Linked DNA regions of Caenorhabditis elegans. The protein of the gene in region 3 interacts with the protein of the main gene of each other region in a pairwise test. Each region holds a gene or a part of one and is shown on either strand. Other genes may lie near its edges. The genes, in order: arrd-24, fkh-7, dmd-6 and klu-1.

Region 1 (3,766 bases), on a different chromosome or scaffold from region 3:
CATTCTGGCAAAGCAAGGACGTAAAGCTCGTCGAATGCAAAGATCTGAATACAAACACGCAGAGGAAGACAATAAAGGTGTTCGCCAAAGACTTGCCGCCAAACTTGTGGCCAAGAAATCGGAAATTATTGAGCGTTTCTGCCTTGCTCAACGTACTGTCTTTGTTAAAGCAGATTGTCCAAATGTCTATGGCCGGACAACCACTCACATTTCCTATCTTTTAGAATAAGTTGCTGTCGTCGTTGCACTGTTATCTTGTTTCACTACTGCACAAAAAGTGGCTCACAAAAAAATCCTGTAAAATTGTCTATAAAAATTCACCGTCAATCTCGAATATCACTACTCCTCATATTATTTTCTGAAATGTTTTTTTTTAAACTTATCTGTTGATTGTAATAAACTTGTAATTTACAATTCATCCTTATAGTTTTTTGAATCTACCCTACCTTATTTTTTGCCAAATGAATATTTTTGAAACTCAATGTTTAGCAATAGAGAAAGAAAATTGATTGACTAATGTAAATGGCCAGAATTTTATTAATTCACAATTATACAAGAAAAAATAAAATAAAATACCCAATTAAATTTTAGTTACACACATTGATTCCTCATAAGACGGCGGTAGAGCGGATGTTCCCGCTGTATCATCGGTCGGAGCACTTGGAACCACAGTTGAATAGGCTGGAGGTTAGGAATCCAGCCGCTCAAGGACAGGTGGATCAGACGGAAAGGTAGTTACCGTTGGCTCCACGATCGATTCAGTTATTGGCACTGTGCCGATGATGATATCAAACTCGCAGTGCAATGTATTATTAAGGGTTGTTAAAGTGTCCAACCTCACAGAAAGACAATACTCAATGCTGATAATGGGACTTGTAAATGTTGGTGGCGACTTTGGGATTTTCATCCGCAGCATTTCACGGCCAGCGGTTTTTGGAGCAATTTTTATGCTTTTTCGAGCTTCTGCAATACGTTTGCTTTCATCCTTGTGATGTTCGTGGTAAGACGAATGAGTGCATAAGAGGCCATGGTTTTTGCTAGCATTGTAATGCGAGTGCTGATGAAGTTCAGCTCGCACAAACGTTGCTGCACGTTTGGAAGCATTGTCAATGTCGATTGTGATTGGCAGGTATTCTCCAGGAGCATATCCTGCTTTGGGGATAGTTACCTGAAAGCATTAAATAACCTATCAATGTAGCAGCGTTGTACTCACAGTTATTGTTACTATTCCTTTTTTAAATATTTGCCCAATGTCCTTCACATCCTTCATCATTCTAGGAACATTTCCCAACGGAAGATGATTCAAGTCAAAGTTGGGAATAACTGAAAAATAACTTTTTGCGCACATTAACAATTTTCGAAATACCTTTGAAGTCTTCCCTTTCGTTTTTGTTGAACTTCCATGGTCTGTCAAGCTCAACTCGCACGGAATAACGAACGTGGCCGTGGAAACCTTCAAAACTAGGTGGACATTCTATCGGGAGTGGAAATGCAAACGGGAAGACATGGTGGCCAGATGGAAGTTTTTCCTGTAACAATATTGTAGTTTGTTATCAGTTAAATGCATGAAACTAAATACTCAAGATCGTCTTTTGTACATTACACTTCCAATTTAAGACTTACAGTTCCATTTCTTGCACTCCATGCAATCGTTTCTCCAGAGACGTAGTCAACTTCTGCAGAGTAGTGCACAATTTCAGTATAACTTTCCTCTTTTCCTTCACAATTACTAAACTCTTGTATGTCATTAGGTCTAGATGTCTTGGAGCTTACGTTCTGTATCGTCGTTCCCCTTCACTCCACTTCGTATGCGCAGCACCGTGAATACAGATTTTCAAGAATCGGGCAGTGATTGGCTCGTTGGATCTCAAAACAACCTGCCCAGTAACAGTTTGACCTGGTGCATAACCTCTCGGGCTATCGAACACAATTCCAAAGTGATCCATATGTTCCATATCTAAACTAAAAAGATACAAGGAAATTTAGAATTTTAATTAAGGAAAATGTTGTATGATTATAAAATGAATGAAAACTGATAAAATGAAGTGGTTATCAAATAAATTGCCGTTTTATAATATATTGTGACTCAAAACGCGTAATCAGGAGGTAAAATGTCGTCATCAGTCTTATACCGTGCGTTATTTGATTTTTGTGAAATCATATTTATATTATAAAACGGCAATTTATTTGATAACCACTTCATTTTATCAGTTTTCATTCATTTTATAATCATACAACATTTTCCTTAATTAAAATTCTAAATTTCCTTGTATCTTTTTAGTTTAGATATGGAACATATGGATCACTTTGGAATTGTGTTCGATAGCCCGAGAGGTTATGCACCAGGTCAAACTGTTACTGGGCAGGTTGTTTTGAGATCCAACGAGCCAATCACTGCCCGATTCTTGAAAATCTGTTTTCACGGTGCTGCGCATACGAAGTGGAGTGAAGGGGAACGACGATACAGAACGTAAGCTCCAAGACATCTAGACCTAATGACATACAAGAGTTTAGTAATTGTGAAGGAAAAGAGGAAAGTTATACTGAAATTGTGCACTACTCTGCAGAAGTTGACTACGTCTCTGGAGAAACGATTGCATGGAGTGCAAGAAATGGAACTGTAAGTCTTAAATTGGAAGTGTAATGTACAAAAGACGATCTTGAGTATTTAGTTTCATGCCTTTAACTTCACAGAATATTTTACTCTCTGGCTTCACAGAATATTTTAATCTCTGGCTTCACCGTATATTTTACTCTCTGGCTTCACAGAATATTTTACTCTCTGGCTTCGCAGAATATTTTACTCTCTGGCTTCACCGTATATTTTACTCTCTGGCTTCACCGTATATTTTACTCTCTGGCTTCACAGAATATTTTACTCTCTGGCTTCGCAGAATATTTTACTCTCTGGCTTCACCGTATATTTTACTCTCTGGCTTCACAGAATATTTTACTCTCTGGCTTTACAGAATATTTTACTCCCTGGCTTCACACTTTTTTGAATTTGGTTTCGAAATTCTGAAAGAACACAAAATTTGCAACAAAATGGCTACAGGATTTTTGAAAAAGTTAGTTTGACGCCAGATTCTAATTTTTGAAAATTGGAAAATCTACTAATTTTGCATGGTCGTTTTTAGTCATTCTCAAACTGTGCACTAAAAGGTATGACTGAAAATCCACTTTTTCTGCTTGAACTCCGCTAGAGGAATTTCTGTATCCGAATTATTTTTTACAGGCATATACCTTGACGAAATTACAAAAAAAAATTTTTGGAATTTTGGGAGACTTGATATGGCCCTGAATAGAAAATTTTTTTCTAAGATTATTGGTAAAGTTCGGGACCTGGAAATTAAATTTAAGCCACGCTAGAGGGGTTTCTGTATCCGAATTATTTTTTACAGGCATATACCTTGACGAAATTACAAAAAAAAAATTTTGGAATTTTGGGAGACTTGATATGGCCCTGAATAGACAATTTTTTTCTAAGATTATTGGTAAAGTTCGGGAAATATACGGTGAAGCCAGAGAGTAAAATATACGGTGAAGCCCGAGAGTAAAAAATACGGTGAAGCCAGAGAGTAAATGTTATATATTTTGTAATAATAATAGAAGAGCTTTATTAGAAAGCAGAAGAGTGCAGTATGATAGAATAGTGAGGAATGATCGAATATGATAGATTCGATCAAGGAATGTACATGTGGATAATACGTGAAATAATAATAAGAGAGTTCGAGAGTTCATGTGCTTCTTATTGTCGAGTTGTTAT
Region 2 (4,896 bases), 9.0 Mb from region 3:
GTATTATTGTAAATTTTTTTGAGTCCTCATGTTTCACATTCATCTTAAAATATTTTCGACGTCGGCGAATAAAAATGATCAGGTCTATCAGGTCTAAAAATGATCAGTTCTATCAAAGTTCTATCAAATATTTTTGCTTTTGAAACAGTCTACTTCTGACCAAAAAAATAATATATTCACAGTTACAGGGTAATTGAAACTTTTCAATTTAAGTATTTTCAAAATATTTTACACTGTTTCAAAAGTGTTACAACATAGCTTGCATGCTTCGAGCACCCAGTCGAAAGTCGATGGTGCACAATAATTCATTATAATAAAAAAAATTGCGACGCCCGTTTTAGCATTTTGTCTTAAAAGTAAATTTGATTCTGAAACCTTCGTTTTTTCAGAACTGGTTGTTAATCATTTTTTAGTATTTTGAAATATTTTTCTGTTTCACTTATTTCTGTTAAACTGTATACAATCTTTCACATTGGTAAATTCATGATTCCGATAAATATACATAGTTAGGTTTTCAGAAAAGTTCAGATAAAAATAACTATCTGTAAATCTGTCGTAGTACTCCACGGATTCTATGTTTTTAGGCAAATACGCCTCCCTGCCTGCCTGCCGCAAGTTTACAGAATTTTGGTGTGGGTTCTAGTATTTTGTATTTATGAAAGTTTTAGGGGGATTCCTATATTTACATTTGTATTAATTTCTTGGAAGTTTCATAACATTTGCGAGAAATCTGTCAGCAGGATCGTTCAAGCCAAGCCGAAGTTAACTTACAGGAATATCGCCAATGGGACATTTGTTTAAAATTCTTCATGTGGTGCTAAAATGACCAATGTTCACTTTATGAACTAACCGTTTTGAAAAGTTTAACTTTTAAAAAATTCAAAAATTTTTTACTGTTTCTGAAATTTTTAAAATCTGAAAATTTATGGAGTTTTTTATTAGGATATTTGGGTAGGATAAACTATGTGTAATATTAAAAATCTCCACTGACATTACTCCATTTTCCATGTCAGGCGGGGTTTTTCGCCTACACGGAACCTTTTTCGATTGCTCATTCATTCCAGATGATGACGTGGCAACCAATGGCAGACAACTCACAGATCGTGCGCACCAAAAGAGTAGAGAGACACTGAGATCACGAGTTGTTTTTATTATTTTGTTATTCTTTTTTTTAGACACACACACACACACAGACTAGTGTGTGTGTGTGTGTGTTCCTCATCTCTCTCACTTTACCAGTCTGTTTTCGATGTTATTTTGGAGAAAAGTGTGTGGACGATGGCATTGAAAACTCGGGTGGATAGGAAATTGGAAAGAAAACACAAATACCCATAGAGAATTGGAAAGGGTATAAGTAAACAGAAATGACAACTACAGTAACCCTCCAGAGAGGGGGGCGGAGTGATAAGAAGGACAACAAACTAAATAGACGTTTTCTTGTTTTCTTGAAGGGATTTGAGCTCAACAAACTGGAAAAAAGAAAACACCGAAATAAGAATTCATGATTTGATATGGCTCCGCGAGCTGCTCCAGACAGCCTTTTAAAAACAGGTGCAAAAATCCTATTTTATATGATTGTGTATACGGACACCTAATATTAAGTTAGCATATGTTGCTTTGTGATCACAAAGTATCATGGGAACATGTTCGGAGTTACTGTACTTTTAAAAAAAGTGGTTTTTTGAGGAAGGATAATAATAGTTGCTCAAATTTGAGTGGAACAATATTTCTACCAGAAAAAAACTATTGTTGTTTCAAATTTGTAACAAATATAAACAAATATTCAATATTTTATTTTTCGGTTTTTTCTAATTTGTCAAGTATTTAAAGTCTGCATAATCAAAAATATCCGCTAAACATTTTTAAAACCCTCTGAAACAGTAAAAAACGATTCATCAAAAATTTGTCTAGACTCACTCCGAATATATATTGGGCCGGTAAAAAGCATGCAGTACTATTTTCGAATAGTGATAATTTTAAACGCATGGAAATTAAAAATTAAAAAAAAGTTTAAGCTACATAATTGAAAATTTTCACCATAAAATTTTTAGTTAAAAAAAAGTATGTTTCAAGATGTTTAGATAATTTCTCATGCTTTGCTATAAATGTTTCTGGTTCGTTTAAATTGAAATTTCAAAGTTAAAGTTAAATGAAAAAGTGCTGAAAAACATGATTCGTAATTTCAACGGAACATTAACTTCCAGACACACATATTCAGACATATGAAAGTTCAAAAAACTGAAGGAAAATATTATGATTTATGAGAGGTGCAATCGGAAATTTGCAGCATTTTTCTAGGAAGGCATGATAAGTTTGGATATGAACCACTCGAAGGAATTCTTAGAAATTTTGATTTTATTTTCTTTTTTTCTGGTTTGATGAATTTGAATCAAGAGATGTTTTGAAAAAAATAACCAAAGAAATGTTGATTTTTGAGGACTGAAAAGGCAAAGATGGAAAGATATTTGTGTAGAAAACAAGTGTGAGCAGTGAAAGAAATGAGTAAAACAGAATAAGAAAAACAACTTACATCGATCAAAAGTTTCGAAAGGCATGTCGGAACTGATGGTGAGTTCATGAGAGATTGATGCATTTGAAGAAATTGTTGAACTGTTTGAAGTGGATCAATTTTGAATTCATGATTTATTCCAGCTGGAAGATTTGATGCTGGACGGGGAAGGTACCCATAACCAGAAGTTCCAGCAGAATCAGATGATGATGGTCCTGCCAATCGCTTTAAATTCGAGTCACTACTAGTTTTATGAATTCCTCCAGATCTTAGTTCCGAAGCAATCAAAGGTCGAAAACTTCTTCGTAATCCTGATGGTTTCTGATGTAAACTCTTTGATTGCATTTCAATTTCCATTTTCATTTCTTCCATATCTTCTTCCTCTTCTTCATGAACAACGTCTATTTGCTCTTCGTCTTCTGCCAATAAATGATTATTTTGACTAGTTGGAGATGTAACTGTAGATGTTGAGGATAAATGTTGTGCTGGTGTCAGCGGTGGAGTTTGGATGTAAAATGGCATTTGATAGGGATTATTTGAGACGTCTGTAATATTTTGTGTAAGTATGCACAGTATGTCACATTTCAAGTTAGAACATGTTTAAGGTTCATAAGAAACATTTGAAACGGTAAATTTTCTTTTTTCGCAGTTTAATTTGTATTTGCAAGTTTAGATGTTCATTTTAACTGCTTGAAAATTAAAAAAAGAAGAAAATCGAATCAAATCAAAATTTTGTAAAGAATAGCTAAAATACCTACTGAATGAGTTTTATGAATAGTACTGTTGTCATATTTTGATGAGTTTAAAAAATAAAAAATTTAAACTTTTTTTTGAGCACATTGGAAAAATATCTGTCTACGGAATTAGTGGTCATTTTTCAGTTCAAAAAATTATTTACAGAAAATGTGTTAATTTGGAGATCCAAGTTCTGGGAAGTTTAGATGGAAAGTTAGACTTGGCAACAAGTTGAAAAATCGTTGTTAATTATTTCCCACAATTCAAATTAGGAACCCGAAACAGAAAATTTTTTTGTTCAATCTAGGTTTGTTTTCAATTTTCAATTTTAATTGTTTGAATAAAAAATAATCATTTTTAATTTCCCATATTTCGATTTTTAATAATATAAGTAATATTCATTGGCGTATATGAACATTCTAAAACATTATATTTTGTTAGTGTGATATCTTGTCGTTTTTCAAAATTTTTTAACTTCAATTCCAATAACGCAAAAATAGTGAATTCAAAGACTGTTTATGTTTACGACAATCTGATTTTTTACTAATTTAGAAATAAACCTCGCCAAATTTTTTTACTTTATTGATATTTAATTTGAACATTTTAGGAAATAGTCAGAAATTATTATTTTTGAAGAGAAAAATTATTGAAAAATAAAACAGAAACTAATTTAATGGACAAATGCCTCCATAGAAATTGTATAAAAAATTAAAAGAAAATTAAAAACAAAAATATTTATTCTGTTTCAACTTTGTTTGATTTTTTGAGGCAATCTTCAGTTTCAGTGATTTTACTTCAATATGTGGAATTTTTTCTATTTTTTTTTTCACGAAACCTGATCAATAACTTCTCATTGAAAGTTATTGTCATAAGATTTTAATCATAAAAGAATCATAAGGTCAAACGATTTTTAATCTATCATAAGATCTATTGATGCATCTGAAATTCAGAAACTTTGAATTTCCAGAATTTTCGCATTGATTTCACTATCGTTTTTCTTTTTTTTTAATTTTGATTATAGTCTCCCAAAAATTAACAGTCATTTTGAGAGACCTTATTCGGTCATAGACACAAATAATAAGGCGTGTGTGTTGTTTACGACGAAAGAAACATTATTTTACCGTTTCGACAGGTAGAATTATATCACATGAGGTCACTTGACTTTTTTAATTCGAAAGGGGAAAAAACTTTTTTGGAAAAGTTCTGAAATTTCGTGAGATTTTAAGATGAAGTAAAGGTTCGAAACTGGACATAGCAGATTAATTTCTGGTGGGAAAATTTTTTTTGTGGTGAAGTACTTTGGTAAAATTCCAGAAAAGTTCAGAGATCAAATTTTAGAAAATTCCAAAAAAAAAAAAAAATTAAAGATGGAGCAAAATGGCTGAGGATTTGTCCTATTCACTATAAATTTGAAAAAATAATGTTAAAAATTCTACTTTTAAAAACACAACTTTTCAATTGTGTTTTCCCTATTTGAACTCCATCCAAAATTAGAACTGCAAGACCAATCAACGCATCGCTCCGCCCACATTTCAGCCAATAAGACTTGGAAGACGCTGATTGGTTTGAAAGTGGGCGTGTCTGCTCATTGTGGAGAAAATTCAAATATTAAGATTTGGAAAAATTTTAAAATCGTGCCTCTAAATTGCAGA
Region 3 (7,876 bases):
AGGACATGACTGTCATGTGCCCAAGTGAGCCACTTCGTCCTTCAAGACCATTAGCTGTGGGCATTGTGGAGTTGGAACGAGTGATAGGAGTCGTCTGAAATGGAATATAGTTGAGCATGAGATTGGAAATGAGCTCAAGAGTATGAGAAGATAAAGTAATAACAGGGCTCGCGCACCTGCTCCGCCTATTCTGACAAAATGTGAGCGCCGCTGCGTGAGGAGGGAGCCAGAGCAGCGTGCGAAGAGAGAGAGAGAGAGAGAGAGCGCATGCTTTGGAGCAGGAGCAGATTAAAAACCATAAGATCAGAATTTTCCCTCTCTCACTGGTTCTGTCGTCGACGTCTTCTTCTCATGCAGCTGTTAGGTCAAGGTGCGCGTGAGAGCTATGAGCAGACTAGAATATTTTCCTAAGAAACCGCGATTTCAGAGAAAGAAAGCCAGCTAGCTATTGACAGATGCCTTACACATATGAAGTGCAAAACAAGAGTCTAGTTTAGGTGGAGAATACTTACCGATGAGGTTCTCGTCTCCGAGTCCATGTCTGGTGTTGAAGTTTTTGAGCAGAATGAGGAACGGCGGGAGAAGCCTGAAAAGTTTCGAAATATTGAATTGGAACATATTGTGTGTGTGTATGTGTTGGAAAAGAAGAAAATGGAAAGTGTTTCGCGTTTCACTGCAGAATGAGAAACAATAGAAAATCGAATGCATCTTTCTTTCTCTCGGGGGGCCCCGAGTGTGGGTATATAGGACAGGTACTAGGTGCCGGATAAAGATCAGTAGAGGGACACAAGGGTTCCGTACTTGGGAAAGGAGTCTCGCACTGGATAATGCCGCCGGCTTACGACGGAGTGAAATGGGAGACGAAACATGTTGAGAGAGAGAGAGGAAGAAGAAAGAGACGCGAATAGAAATTCGGTGATCTTTAAATCCTTCACTATTTGGTGCGACTGGTGTGTTGCTCACCTTTTTTACATTATTTTTTCATAGTCTGTGTACACTTACTCCCACTGATTCAGTCCTATTAGAAAAGAGAGAGAGAGAGAGAGAGAGAGAGAGAGAGAGAGAGAGAGAGAGAGAGAAATGAAAAAAAATGTATATGAAAGAGCAGCACACCAAAACACAGGGATCATACGTAATGTGAGCTAATGTGATTCACCATTTGCCTACGTCAACGCCATTTTGATGATTTCTAATCTCTATTCATTTATATGTAGACATCGAAAATTGAGAACAAGAAAAGTGACGGAAATCTGTTTACAGTCGAGCCGGCGGCTCCAGACACATACTTGGAATTTCTATTTCTGTTTGGCCAGCATACGCGCATACGTGCTCAATCTAACCATCGGTCAGCGGATATTCAAATGATAATTGCTATTATTTTGAACTGACACGAGATATGTGCCAACCGTCGTGAGTCATTGAGACACCAAAGCATAACTTTGTAGACAGATAAATTGAGTGGGAAAATTGTGAAAAATGAAAAGGAGAGAGAGAGAGAAAATAATTACGTATAATCAAATGCAAAAAGATCGTAGACGGGCTGCATAAGGGATCAAACCAGGGAGCTAAAACTCAAAACGGAAGACGTTCCAAGGAGTTTAGCTCAATTTTTTGAAGACAGAACCGAAATTATAATACATAAAAATGAAAATGAAGACTAGACGAAATGCCTGAAATATTCGCGAATAACAGAAGAGACAGTCGTCCTCGGGAGGCTGGGCACACAAACACATACACAGAAAAGTGATTGTGTACTGAAAATGTGAGCGCCTTTTCGTCATCCTCTCTGTGTGTGTGTGTGTGCCTTAAAATGTGAAAAAACGTGGAAAAACGAGAGGACGATGAGAACCGAGTAGACTAGTAGTTGCGAAAATCAGACAGGGCAAACGAGAAATAGTACAGATGTGATGAGAGTGTGCAGACGCAATGAGAAAGAGTGCAAGGTCCTGAAGCGACCGAAGAGAAGGGATGAAAGGGGGGGGGGGAGGAGGAGAAAGAGTTGCTGGAATGTACTAAAAACAAGTAGATGGCGAATGAGCAAAACAAAAAGGTCAGTGGAGGGTTCGAGTCGATCAGGACACACATTTTTGTATATATCAAGACGACGAAAACAAGATTCGTAGATTCGAGGGATGGAACTAGGAAATAGAATTTTCAGCGATCTAAGAACACTTGTTCTGAATATAGAATTTTGTTATTGCGGCGTTCCAAAAGTGCGACGAATTACACTGGAACGATCAGAAAGCGCAAGAATCAGGTGATTTTTGTAATGGTATAAAGGAAAAAAACTGATAACACTATCAAAAGATTAGTCTAGTACCGGTACCTACAGTCTACTTTTTTGCAAAAGTTGGGCAAATAGTTGCTTTGTTTTTGAAAAGTGAATGTCATGGGATCGAATTTTGTAGTAAACTCTTGAAATCAAAAGATCATGTCCTTTCCAAAATATCTAACAAATATGAAACATCATCGCAAACTCCAAAATAGTTTTGAAATAACACTTGATCTTTCAGTGGTTCTGCTGTCTACGTTGTTAGTCATACAGAGATTTTCGATCGCGTACGAGAAACGAACAAAACAACCGAGTACATTTTTGTGGAAATCTAGACGGAAGTTATGCATATTTGTGGGGGAACTAGGGAGTAAGCGCCAAAACACAACTGAGAAATCAGAGATCTATGGGTACTATATGGATTCTAATTTGATAGTGAAGGAGTAGGAGACAGAGATCAGGGAAAAGCTCACCTTCTTCATCGTCAACACTGGATCCGGATTCTGGAGCATGTCTCTTTGCATTCAGAGCTGCTGCCAACTCGATCTTTTCCTTATTTCTCTTGTTGAACGACTTCAGGCGCTTGTAGTTTAGCTTCTCGCACTAAAATTTGAAAATTTGAAAACAAAATAGCTCCCAGACTCTTCTAGAACTTACCGATTTGCAATTGCACAGAATATATGGGCACTGTGGTGAGTGATTCTTGAGGATCACCTTCTCGCCGTGTCCTTCGCACTTTCGGCAGTAAAGGATGCGTCCCTTTGGCTTTGGGGAGTCCATGTCTTGGGATGATGGAGAGTAGTTCTCGTTGCTGCGGTGATGATGATGATGATGCTCGTCGTCGATGGTTACAGTAGCGATGATGTGTGGGCTCATTTTACTGAAAGAATTGGGAATTTGAGATATGTACGGAAGGAGAGCAAAAGATTTTTCAAAGTAAGACTTCTTACGAACAGCGTGAAACAGGAATTCTTTTAATTTTTTAAGTTTAAAATATGTGTAAAAAACAGACCTCTAGAAACAGAAAATTGAAATATTAAAAAATTTCAATAAATTTTAAAAATTAGTGTTTCAAAACTTGAATATTCGTTGGCTAGTTATGATTTACATAATGAAGCTCCCGAAATTTCGAAAAAAATCTAATTGTCTTACTGAATTTAATGATTCACAGTAATTCTGCTAGATGCACACAGCAAATTGATGCAACATGATCACTGTATAAACTTGTGAAAATAATGAAACAGTAATTTTTCTTCAAGACATATATATTCCAAGAGTACTACAGTAATCCACAAGAGCTTAACCTTAGCTAACCTAAAATCATGAAGACTGATCAGGAATAGTGACAAAAATGGAGGAGGAGCTCCAAGGGTCAAAGCGGAAGTTACAAAGGGACCTACAAGAGAGTAAGAGAAAAAAATATGTAATTTCTTTTTTTTTTCCCATTCGAAAAAAAACACACTCGATGGGTGTGTGTTCCAGCTTCCTCGTTCCTATTTTTCCAGTCCCTAGTGGTTCAATAATCACATATGCGGGGAACACACACACACAGGGGGGTGTTCGAAGATCACTCGGGGTCTACTAGTCTGGGCTCGAAAAGCTCAAAAATTGGGTGAAAAACATGCTAACGCGAAGCAGCAGAGACACTGGAGAACACAACACAAATTGTGATCTAGAACACACACAGAGAGAAATAGATGACCAGGCGAACGGAGCACAAAACAGAAGAAGCAGAACACGGAAATGAGAGGATGGTTGTGCAAAATAAGTAGAAAATATCTAGAGGAAGTAAATTAAGACATTTTCAGACAAGGAAATAAGCGTTTAGATGGAGATAACTAGGTTACTGTAGATGATTTTTGAAAATTGGAATTCTTAATGAAAATTTACTGTTTCACAGAAAATGTTTAAGAGTTTTAAAACTGGAACTGTAATATTTATGTGATTCTATTAGTAATAAAAAAACTCACATCAGTAAAGGATTTGCAAAAATTTTAAAAATCGAAAAAAAGTTACTGTTTCACGGAAAATGTTTGATTATTTCAAAGTAGAGGCATACTACTTGTAGAACGACAGGAAAATTACGGTTTCAAATTTTGAAATTTAATAACACTTTCACTGTAAATTTTGTGAAATTTGGCATATGAATTTGATTACTGACTAAAAATAACAATTTACTCCTAATAAGAAATACAAATCAAAAATTATGTTGCGGTTATGTATACGTAAAAATTTAAAAACAGTGAAATTTTTCACTGTTTCAAAATATGCATTAAAAATGTTGTGGACTCTTTTTTTTTTGCTATTACCAACGAAGTAGGTTCATCATTTTTCAACAAAAAATATTTATGTAGATTTTTAAAATCTTATTAAAATTTTGAATTCGAATTTTTGAAATTTCAAATTTTGAAGAAAAAAATTACTGTTTCAAAATAAAAATATGAAAAGTTCACAAAGTTCAAAGTGCTTTCGACAGAATTTAAAAAATATAGAAATTAATACAAAACACATCAATTCCATAGGTACAAAGTTCCGTAAGTTCGGTTCTTTGTTGCTCCTCCTCTACTACACACGGCACACAGAAAATGAACATAAAATTGGGCGGTACAAAGTTTAGGCGGGGTGTGCAAATATTTGACCTACTCTCCACCTCCTCCCACTAACCGGGTTGAATGACTGAAGAGGTCGAAAAGTGTGTTTTTGATCACAAACTTTATCATCATCATTCTGTGACTTTTCCAGAGAAGAAAAATCTAGAAAAAGTCAAGAAAAATGATTCAAAAAAATAGGAAAAATAAGTGATCAAAAAACTGGAGTTGGGGGACCCGCAAAAACAGAGAACACAACCGCCAGACAAAACATTTCTTCTTTTTCTTCGTCTCTTTAAAGATCGCCGAGTAAATTGACAACAAAAAGCTCAAAGTTTCAGTGTTTTTCTCTTTGAAGCAGGAACAAAAATTTTCAGCTTCTTTTCAGCTGAAGCTCAAACTTTTTTAAAAGAAAAAGACATTGTGAAACAGAAAAGTTCCCATTTCTTGTAAGAAATGACTAACAAGTGACACGGCAAAAAGTGAAAGAACTGGCAAACACGTAGCCTTTGTAGTCTACAAAATGTGTCTACAAAATGTACAATAAGGTGAAACTTTTAAAGAAAGAATAGAGCAAACACTTAAAAAAAATGGAACTTTTTTCAAAATTTTGAAACAGTTGAAAATTTTTTAATCAGAATAGTTTAGTTTATTGGGACCAATACAGGGCGATATCATAGCAAAAACAAACATTTATTTGTGAATTTCAGAACTTTTTGAAACAGTAAAATATTTTTGAAACCAAAACTTTGTGGTTGTCAGCCAAGCTACAAGAAGCGACGAAAATTATTGCAATTTTCAAACTTAAGTTTTGTTTATAAAAAAAAACAATGCTCTCTGTGTAAATTTCAAAATGTTTTGAAACAGTTAATTTTTTCCAAAGTCCAAAATTTTGAATTTTTTCCGTTTCCTCCGCCACGTCATTTGCACTAATTTTGTGCTTCCGACTAACATTATACAAACATCTTCACCGGTTTTCCTAGACACCTCAAGTGGCTAAATATGTTTGCAACAAAAAAAACACGAACTTACCAATGACCAGCTCCACAAAATAATATTTTTTTTTGATTGTTGAGCCACACGAGCTCCAACCAAAAATGGCTTCTTTTTGATGATTTGGCAATGAAAGTGAGATGAAGTCTGAAAAAAGAGGAATTTCTTTAAAAATTTGCGGAGAAATTGTATAGTAAATTGGAAAGAGAGAAGCCAAAATTGTGATTTTTGAAAAAATTATGGAAAAGTTTTGCATACGAAATCTGTTTAATACGATTATTTTTCACGTGCGCAGAGGGAACCGAAAGATTAAAAGTATATATGGAGAGAAAACTGTCGGAAAATGTTGGACGAAGTTTAATCAGTGAGGTTTTGTTGAAAAGTTTAGAAGAAACATTTTTGAAACAGTGAAAAAAATTTCCAAAAAAAAAAGAGTACAATTAGAACCTGTAAATTGAAAATTTTAATCAGTGATTCTTAATGCAGAAATTCGATCACGTTTTCATCGAAAAAGCCAGTTTCCACGCAGCTTCAGATCCCAATCAAAAACGATCCAGAATGAAGTGAAGATGAGGAAATGCAATGGAAGGGAATAACGAGTGTATTAAACTAGACACAGTTCGTATTAAGGGCGTATGTAGGAGTTTCAAGGTAGAAAGAGGCCGAAGCACGGGAGATGAATATCTTGAGGGATTTTTTGGGAAGTTTCTTGACTGTAACAGGAAAAAAAAGAACCGAAGTTATTGAGAAATGAAAGTTGAAATTAGGAACATGCAATTTTGAAACAGTATTTTTTTTCCGAAAAGTTAAAATTGGTCAATTTTGGCGGGAACGGCAGTTCAACAGATTTAAATATATATTTTAGCGAAATTTATATTAACATTCCAAACAGGTAACAAATTGTGAAAAAAGTTTAGGTTTCTGGCTGTAACAGGAACAAGATGCGACCATTAATGAGAAATCAAGCTTGAACTTAGAAAAATGCGGAAAACAAATTTTTTTGGAAATTTTAGTTATTGCAACTGCACATAAAATTGTTATATTTTCCAGCGACATGGTTTATATTAAGATTCAGAACAGTTAAATAAATTGGAAATAAATTGGATTGAAAAATTGTCGAAAAAATCACCGTTTCCTTATAATAAATTTTAAAACAGTAATTTTTTTTTTTGGAAAACTTAAAATAAGATCGGATTTCGTTAATTTTTCAGTTAATTTCTCACCAACTACACTTACTACAAATACTGAATTCTTGAATGTACGTGTGAATAAAGGTTAGATCCGCCGAGTTAGATAAGAAAAACACGGTAAATGCAGAAATCCCACATTTGAACGGATTCTGCTGCTGGAGGTGGAGATATCGAGTCACAGAATGTTCATTGGGATCTTTCAGAACTACTACTAACACTTGAAACGGCGAGGAATTTTCATGGAATTTTTGAAACAGTGAAAAAAATTTCCAAATTTTAAAAATTTTTAAATTTTGACATTCAAACTTCGAAAGTTAAACTATTAATTTTTATTTCTTGATTTCAAGTTTTAAGATTTACTTCTTAAACTTCTATCCAGAAAATTGTTACTGCTACAAACTACGGCCTACGGATACTACGGATACTACGGAAATTACGGATATTCAATTGGAACTGATGTTACTCAAAAGATCCGTGATCGAGATACAGCCGGGCAGGCGGGGGGTCGCTATGATTTTTGTTGTTACTCTTATGCAAGTAAATTGCACTTTTCTGGCCCCACTAAGTAGCTCACGCTTTTGTAGAGATCAAACGCCCTCCCTGTAAAGGCGTCACATCTCGAAAAATACATGGAGGAAAAGCTGCTTGTGTTGAGATTATGATCAGAGAAAACGATGTTGAACAAGAGATCGCAGAATTTTTTGATTGGAACGAAATAGAATGAAAAACAACTGCGAGAAATATTTTTATAGAATTTGAAAAAAAAAATTGAAAAAAAATTACTGTTTCAAAATTATCACAAAAAAAATTTTGTTGCAAAATTTTTCAGTATT
Region 4 (7,705 bases), on a different chromosome or scaffold from region 3:
GAGAATAAAGAGTTCGGAACTGATTCGTCAAGGAAGGTTTCGGTAAGAGCTAAAATTTGATAAGGTGAAGTTCGGAATAGATCAAGAGTTTGAGTAATTTTAGTAAGACTAGCGATACCTCCGTTCACTAATTACTTCTTCTCTCTCACTTCTCCGGCGGTCTAATCTTTCAATAATTTTTTTTTGATTCGAATAGATAGAAAGATTAACGGAAAAATAGAAGAGCTCCTAGTTTCTTTTAAATTTGTGATAAGAATACTTTATAACAGAACAGCACGATAATTTTTATCCACTTTGAAAGTAATCTTTCGAAACGGTACTACAACCTTGACCAAATTTTCTCTGCCGTATGCCCATTACTGAGTATATCTCGAAAATGGCTGGATGCATTATTAATGTCTGCAAGAAAAATGTATACCTTCTTAAATTTTGCCAATGGCTTCCACACACTTTTCTGAAATTTCTTCAGAAAATTTTTCATCAAAAATTTAACTTCTGGCGAAACAAAAACTATATATTAAATTTTTTATTTATATATAATATTAATAAAATTACAGTAATCGAGGCGAAACCCGTCATTGAAATTTAAAGTTTTTTGTTCATTTACTTTTGTTCATAGAGCAAAAAACGGAAGGAACCTGATACAGGTATCAAGACGTAGTATTGCGCATCGTAACATCAAATGATAACTGCCGATTGAGTACAATAGGTGCGAACGATGGAGATGGTGGTGTTGAGAGAGAAAGTGATTGGAAGGGTGAAGACACGGAAAGAAGATTTGATGATGATGCGGAAAGTATTGGTTTGAATGCGGACAACAATCCAGAACCAATTTCAACGGTTGCAGTTGACCCGATCTTTGGTGGTAGTGGTGAAGTAGTTGCACTTCGGATTGACAATTGAGATATTGGAGTTGAGATACTGGAGTCATCTGTCAGTGAATGAGTTCGCATGTGACGGGAGATCATGTCGCGGCGGCTCTATAAATATTATGTGTTGACTTTTACTTTGAAAATCTGAGTATATTCGAGCAGTTCAACATTATTTTACCGAGAGTCTTTAGATCTCACGTCTGGTTAGCGTCGCATGATGAAAAATGATTCAGACGTATTTAAATCTTGATCATGAAGCAAATATTAGAAATGTTTAATCTTAAACGCGACACCAGCCAGAAGATAGGACTATGTTCTGTTCCAAGTTAAGCTGTGATTGGGAAAGTGGACGTGTGTTTTAAACGGAAATCAACTAGACTCCAAAGCACGCGGAATCTAACATAATGATTTGAATGATCTGAACATACTTACCGCTGAATAATTACACATTGGACACGCGTATGGTTTTTCGCCTGTATGTGTTCTCAGATGAGTGGATAAATGGTCAGAACGAGAGAATACTTGATTACATGTCGGACAACTGTATGGTTTTGCTCCCGTGTGAAGACGCATGTGCCTGAATAAAAAATATGTGTCGTTTTGTCTAATCAAAATTGTATACCTTGTCAGCATATCACTTCTCGAGAAGCTTTTTGAGCACATGTTGCATTTGTGGACTTTAGAAGCATCATCTAATGTACAACTTCGCTGGCGATGTCGAGACGCTATATGCTTAGCTAATCGATCATGTACCGCAAACGCCTGAAAAAAATTGTGTAGGGTCCTCCATTTCGACAAATGTGTACCTGCCCACAAAGTGTACATGGGTACTGCATTTGCTTGGCACGACTTGAGTCATCTCTCGGTGCGAACGTCATGTCATCTTTGCTTCTGGGGAAAACTTTCAAAGGTCCTGGTGTCGAAATAGTTGAACAATCTTCTGCAGAACGAGCGGTTAACAAATTGTACATGGTTGCATTCTGCATGGCAAAAATCTGTTCTCGAGCCCAGCTGCTCACAAAGGAATTGGTCTGAAATATAGACAATGTTGAGATGTAGGTGGAGTGCTATACCGTTTCCAAGTCCTTCTTGATTTCCATTCCCGACGAAGGTCTCAACAACAACCGCTGCTCCACCTGCTCTCGCTCATCAGACGTCGGTGGTGGCGTACTACTACTCCGCTTGATCTCCCCGCCAAACTTGTGAAGCGGTTTTTTAGCGTAAATCGGCACCGAGATAGTCGATGTGTTAAGATGCCTCACGTCATCCTCCTGCGTGGGTTGCATATCGCTTTCTGACCTGCTACGCTCTCTGCATAACACTTAATTTTAAAAACAGGAGTCGGAGTTATTATTGTCACCTGGATAGTTCATATGCAGCACCCGCCGCGAGCAATTGATTAAAGTGGGCTGTGCTGTGGCCCAGCGAGGACACCGAGCGAGCTTCAAACCTGTAGATATATCAACTTTAAATATCCGCATCAACTCAGGAATTTCGTAATGAGACGTTCCAAAAATTTTCCAAAGAAAGTTATGTCCGCTTAAAGTTTTGGAAAAAACGGCCTATTTTTAGCTAAAATCTCAAATCTTGGCAGCTTCTCGGTGTTGCAGTGGTTGGAACTTAATTTTTATTTGATTATCATCTTTTAATGCATGTTTTGGCATTTTATTACGTGTTGTTTCGTTGATTGAGATTCTCATAATCAAATAAAAATTAAGTTCCAGCCGGCAGAATAGATAACCATCAGTGGGATACTGACCAAAACCGGGCCAAATCATGTTTGCAACGCGGCTATAATTAGTGATAATTTTACAGATCCCTTGTTAACTCAACATATTTGTCACCAATTTCCATATCTACTTAAAACTTACGAAAAGTGATTTCCCGAGTTGGTCGACAGGGAGTAGGGAGTTCCAGAGCAGTTAGTGTCACAATCAAACGGCGATATCAACTCTTTGCCAGCCTCGTCAAAGTCTACACTTCGATCGCGATACGTTAAGAACGACGAAGTTGTGGAGGAGAAGCTCGACCGTGCCGACGATCCAAGGTCTGATGTCGCATAGTTCGGCGATAGACGGGCGTGGTCAAATTGAGAGGAAAACTGAAAGTTGTGGGTGGAGGTAGAAAGATACACACCTATGATTTATTTTTAGAAATAAGGGGTTTGCCACCTATAATTTTAAGTTTAACATGAAATCAATTTTCAGGGCGAAGCAGGGAGTTTACGAAAAAGAGCAGTTAGAACTAAATGAATTGAGCTTAAGCTTTCTGCTATTGTTGTTATGATATTGTCTAAAAGTTTCTTTTGGAGATGATAATGCGACTTTAATTCTCTTTTACAAACTTTAGTTCCCTTACCAATTGAATACGTTGCATCAAATCTGCGGTAATCCCTTCATATGGACTGAGCGGCATTGTTGGTGAAGCTGGCTTTGAGGGAGCTTGCTCGTATATTGTCGGACACTGAAAAATGCTCATTTCATGCCGTTTCGACCCCTCCTAGTCGTTTTTTTTTCTTATTTGGAAATTCCCATTAACCCCCTCCATACGTGAAATCTGATCCTTCCTTCAAACACTTTTAACCTCTGGCTCCCCTTAGCGTGCTAGGGTTTCAGAATTCACACGAGATTCCAAGACCAGTAGTACAACAGGTTCATAGATTAATTAAAAACCCTTTTCTATAGATAGAATTCAAACTAGCAGACAATGTATAATTATGTAAATTGATACATGCAAAAATATAATTGAAAATTGTGCAATTATCAAAAAGAGAAATATGTCTACCTAATGCCAACTGATTTCATTCATGTGCATCTAACCTAAAATTTCGGTTTTTTTCAGTTTTCTAGTCTAAAGTGTATTTTAAGTTTATTGATCAAATTTGGCAAAATGTAAAACTTCGGAAGTCCGAATACGTACTTGGATTTTGGTCTTTTGAAAAAGTTTAGTAGTGATATATATTTCGACAACAATGCCTAACAAGGGTTTCCGATAAAACGTATAACATAACAGTAGGAAAAAATATCGTCAACGTTCGAAAAATTTGACTATTTATAAGTTATTTGTGAAATTCAAAAAGTGTTATTACAATATTTGGTCACATTATCACCTATTTAGGTATCACAAACTAGTAAGCCTATCAACTAACCTGAAAGGTGATCGAACGTTGTTGTAGTTTTTCACATTCTTCCTCATATTCATTTAGAGTTTTCATATTCGAGCCACACAAACACGCATAAAAAACTGCGAGGGAGTGGAAAACGGAAGTAAGACGAATTTTTCAGTTCGTTATTTTTTTGTTGGTCTTGTTGTTGACTACTAGATTGAAAAAATATATCGAGCGTAAAAATGGGACAAAAAAAGGGGGGGGGGGGAAAGAAATGACCTAAAAGTGAGCAGAAAAGTAAAAAATGAGAGACATCTAATTATTATTCATACTTTACTCTATTTTTTTTTCTTTTCAAATGGTCTGTGACTCAGGAAACCGAGTTGCATGATAGGATGGTGCACATTCGAAATTTTCTACAAATCTAGAACTCTAGTGTTTCAACTTTATCACTTTAACCAAACCTGCTGCAACATAGTTGCCTGTCTACTCCCGAAGTTGACATTTTTAAGTAAGAAATGATATAAAGATAACCTAAATCGATGTTGCCAACAATTAGCTGCAGGTAAACATGCAGATATGGCGCAGTAAACTTCTCCATAAGATGCACCCGCCAACCAAACAAAAATTCACTACTGCAACCCCCCCCCCCCCTGCATTTTATCATTGCTCTCCTCATTCCATTAGATCAACATTTACCCTTTGATGACGTCAATGAGGAATTATGTAAATTCAAGAACTATATGCTTAATCGGATTTGTGGTTTTTTTCAATACGGGTGGCGTGGGTGATGATATTATGATTTTCAGAAAAACAGTTTTTTGTTTGAAGAAAATGCAGTAAAGTAATCTAGTGGTGATAGGCTTCGCGCACGGTTTTCGAACTTTTGGCACGTTCACTGCTGCCAAAATCCACGTGAACCTATTTAAATTGATTGATTAAACAATAGCAAAAAACAAGCGCCAAGCAGACACAAAGGTAGTTATTGAACATATGATATTCATGTTGAAGTGACTTCATGAAAACACGATCATTAGTTACAAAAAATATATTAGCTAGGTTACGGCACTTTGTCTTTCGGAATAGTTTTAATAGCGTATATGGAGCTTATTTATAGTTGTGACCCAGAAAAAGTTAAAACTCGACCAACAAATGTATCTTTGCTTTTTTTTCGTAAAATAATAAAAGTATTCGTGAACAGTTTCCAAAATTCGTAGCTTTCGTTCGTATTTTTTCGATACTCAAACCTACATTTGTATTCCAATAGGCCCTCCCAACTGTAATCCACCCACATTCTCAATGTCATCCATCACATTTTGACTACAACTACAAAATTATGATAGCCAGAAAACATCATACATCATCCATTCTCCATATGTTTCGTTTTTTCTTCTTTTCCTGCTCCCCCACTTTTTTCCTTCTTTTTCCCAAGCCCATAAAGAAAAGATTCTAAAAATAGAGTTAAAAAGGAAAAGAAAAAGGATGTGTGCATACGACTATACAAGACCAAAATCTTCTTGTTTTTTTTTCGGTGAAAACCAAGAAATTCTCTTGGGAAGTTCAATGTGGAACACTCCTTACCGCTATTGTTGAGATCACCAATGCCGGAGGTTTCCGTGGATGTGTTGCTGGGGCTGTTACTGCAACTGCAACTGGTGTCGCAACTACTACTGTAGGCTCTGCTACAGATGCTTCATCACTCTGGCTCATCCCACCTGGAATTTTAAATCATTATTTTGATTTGCGACTTTAAAGTTGGGAAAGGCACAAGGAAAGTATAATAAATGCGAAAAAAGTGCACCGGAAATGGGCTAACGGGCGGGTAGAACTCCCTGACGGAAATTAGTAGAAGACAACTTTCTAGGGGGATCGGTTTAGAAGTGTTCTGATTATTGGAACATGATAAATGATGTCACCGAATTAAAAAATCAAGAGTTGTGACAAATCTTAGAACTCCGCAATTTAAATGCAATTAAAAAAAAAATTGAATAAAATTAAAATTACATTTCAAGTTACCTAGTACGACTGCCTTGTGCCTTTTTTTAAAAATAAGGTTTGGCAAATTTGGAGTTCTAAGATTTTTTTAATTTGGTAAAACGACGAAAGAAATAATTTCGGTTACCACCTTTCCTTATATATATATATACATATACAAGTGACAGCTTCACAATATTTTGAATGGCTGCTGCCCATCAAAAAAGCTTAAAAGGTTACGTAACTGGAGGTTTTGAGCAAATCGGCTTCACCGAAAATTTCCAAGGTTTAACTGGGATTCATCTGCGATTTTATAGATTTGGTCGATAGATTAACCGATCACTTGGATTTTCTTAGATTACGTAGTTAGGGATCAGTGAAGTTAGTGATAAATAATATTGTTTATCTATGCAGGTACGTAAAATCTCAATACATTTATTTTAACGGCATAAACAAAAAAAAGCAGAGGCCTGCACGCAACCCATCACTTCTTTTCTAAATTTTGAGGGCACTCACTGAGCCTTACTCACTGTGACTTAGGGTTGCCATAGTATTTTTTTAATGAGAAAATGTTAGCGATTCATGTTCAAATTTCAGTTCTAAATCCCATAGAAATCTACTGTATCATTATACAAAGTGTGGTATTAGGTGGAGTCAATAAGTTCTGGGTAAAATTTCATACCTTGTTTTGTTGCATTCCGATTTTTTTTGAAATTATGAGAATTCATGCGTTCAACTATGGTTTTTCATTTGTTGGTAGCCACAAAAATTATCTACCTCCCGAAGCGACCCAACGCGGTGCCATTTTTCTGGCTTCTGCCCGATCTCGCTTCTTTTCAGCTTTCATGTAAGGTCTATGTGCGAATTTTGATTAGTTATTAATTCAATTGAGGTAAGAAAAATAAAAAATTTGGAAAAAAACTCGTTCAAAAATATTTTGTTCAGAATTATTGATTTTTAATCAAAAATGATGCAAATGTGTCTAAGAAAAGTAAAAAAATACTAGCAAATTATTTAGAAATTTTTGAGTACTTTGGGGTTTTCAAATTTAATGCATTAGAATCAAATGTGTTGTTAGAAATTAAAAATTAGCTCAGACACATTTTCATTATTTTTGTTCAAAAAATCAATAGTACAAATGATTTTTGAGAATTTTTGGTCTACCAACAAAAGTGTTTTAGAACTAACTTTTTCAAAAATTCTACTTTAAAAAAAAACAGTATACTGAAATCTCTGAAAAATACTGAAAAAATACTGAAAACAAATAAAGCAAACCGAAATCTTTCACCAAAACGCACGGATTTTTAACTAAAATTTCCAGAAGTTTGGCAAATGTGGAACTTCATTTGAAATTCATAATGTCGGAAAATCAATGGTATATTATTAAAAAAGTGGAGGGTGAGGTGTTGATCATGTTATCTAAAAATTCAATTATGCTTGGGTTCGAGAACAAGAGAGCAAACCTTCAGATTTACCTTCAGATTTTTTCTCAGAAAAAAGTTGAAATAAAATGAAAAATTATACAGGGAATGTGGGAAGAAGATGATCTTCATCCCAAATGTCTCACTATCAGCTTGATTGAAATAACTTTCTCATTTTGAAGACAGATCTCATGACAAGCCGATTATGTATGTGACTCTTGCCTTGATAAAAACAGGTGGATTCTTGACTTTCCGGTCAAGAAGGTGTCGCATGATGATTTGTGATTTTTGCGGAGAAAGCGTATGCATTCACGGCACAAATACACCTGTTG

Evidence for each region.
Region 1: the proteins of dmd-6 (region 3) and arrd-24 interact in a two-hybrid assay, tested with the Caenorhabditis elegans proteins (one large-scale study listed by BioGRID).
Region 2: the proteins of dmd-6 (region 3) and fkh-7 interact in a two-hybrid assay, tested with the Caenorhabditis elegans proteins (one large-scale study listed by BioGRID).
Region 4: the proteins of dmd-6 (region 3) and klu-1 interact in a two-hybrid assay, tested with the Caenorhabditis elegans proteins (one large-scale study listed by BioGRID).

What each region holds. Positions count from the first base shown.
Region 1 is NC_003284.9:13,978,552-13,982,317, forward strand, and holds arrd-24 (Arrestin C-terminal-like domain-containing protein), read right to left. Parts: upstream 1,967-3,766; 5' UTR 1,956-1,966; coding exon 1,774-1,955; intron 1,730-1,773; coding exon 1,624-1,729; intron 1,530-1,623; coding exon 1,367-1,529; intron 1,324-1,366; coding exon 1,214-1,323; intron 1,169-1,213; coding exon 689-1,168; 3' UTR 518-688; downstream 1-517. Other genes in the region: F48F7.6 (Zf-C4pol domain-containing protein), read left to right, coding at 1-229.
Region 2 is NC_003282.8:5,582,819-5,587,714, reverse strand, and holds the start of fkh-7 (Fork-head domain-containing protein), read right to left. Parts: upstream 3,032-4,896; coding exon 2,531-3,031; intron 2,131-2,530; exon of another isoform or gene 2,109-2,130; intron 961-2,108; exon of another isoform or gene 939-960; intron 498-938; exon of another isoform or gene 477-497; intron 403-476; exon of another isoform or gene 382-402; intron 302-381; exon of another isoform or gene 281-301; intron 100-280; exon of another isoform or gene 76-99; intron 1-75.
Region 3 is NC_003282.8:14,614,727-14,622,602, reverse strand, and holds the start of dmd-6 (DM domain-containing protein), read right to left. Parts: upstream 6,001-7,876; 5' UTR 5,893-6,000; intron 5,540-5,892; exon of another isoform or gene 5,519-5,539; intron 5,434-5,518; exon of another isoform or gene 5,413-5,433; intron 5,248-5,412; exon of another isoform or gene 5,227-5,247; intron 4,597-5,226; exon of another isoform or gene 4,576-4,596; intron 4,470-4,575; exon of another isoform or gene 4,449-4,469; intron 4,356-4,448; exon of another isoform or gene 4,332-4,355; intron 4,228-4,331; exon of another isoform or gene 4,207-4,227; intron 3,470-4,206; exon of another isoform or gene 3,449-3,469; intron 3,406-3,448; exon of another isoform or gene 3,385-3,405; intron 3,192-3,384; exon of another isoform or gene 3,171-3,191; intron 3,153-3,170; 5' UTR 3,149-3,152; coding exon 2,930-3,148; intron 2,876-2,929; coding exon 2,746-2,875; intron 2,422-2,745; exon of another isoform or gene 2,401-2,421; intron 1,080-2,400; exon of another isoform or gene 1,023-1,079; intron 587-1,022; coding exon 513-586; intron 95-512; coding exon 1-94.
Region 4 is NC_003279.8:14,973,407-14,981,111, reverse strand, and holds klu-1 (C2H2-type domain-containing protein), read right to left. Parts: upstream 5,694-7,705; 5' UTR 5,689-5,693; coding exon 5,560-5,688; intron 3,336-5,559; coding exon 3,231-3,335; intron 2,974-3,230; coding exon 2,744-2,973; intron 2,323-2,743; coding exon 2,233-2,322; intron 2,184-2,232; coding exon 1,946-2,183; intron 1,904-1,945; coding exon 1,679-1,903; intron 1,635-1,678; coding exon 1,495-1,634; intron 1,450-1,494; coding exon 1,305-1,449; intron 981-1,304; coding exon 651-980; 3' UTR 516-650; downstream 1-515.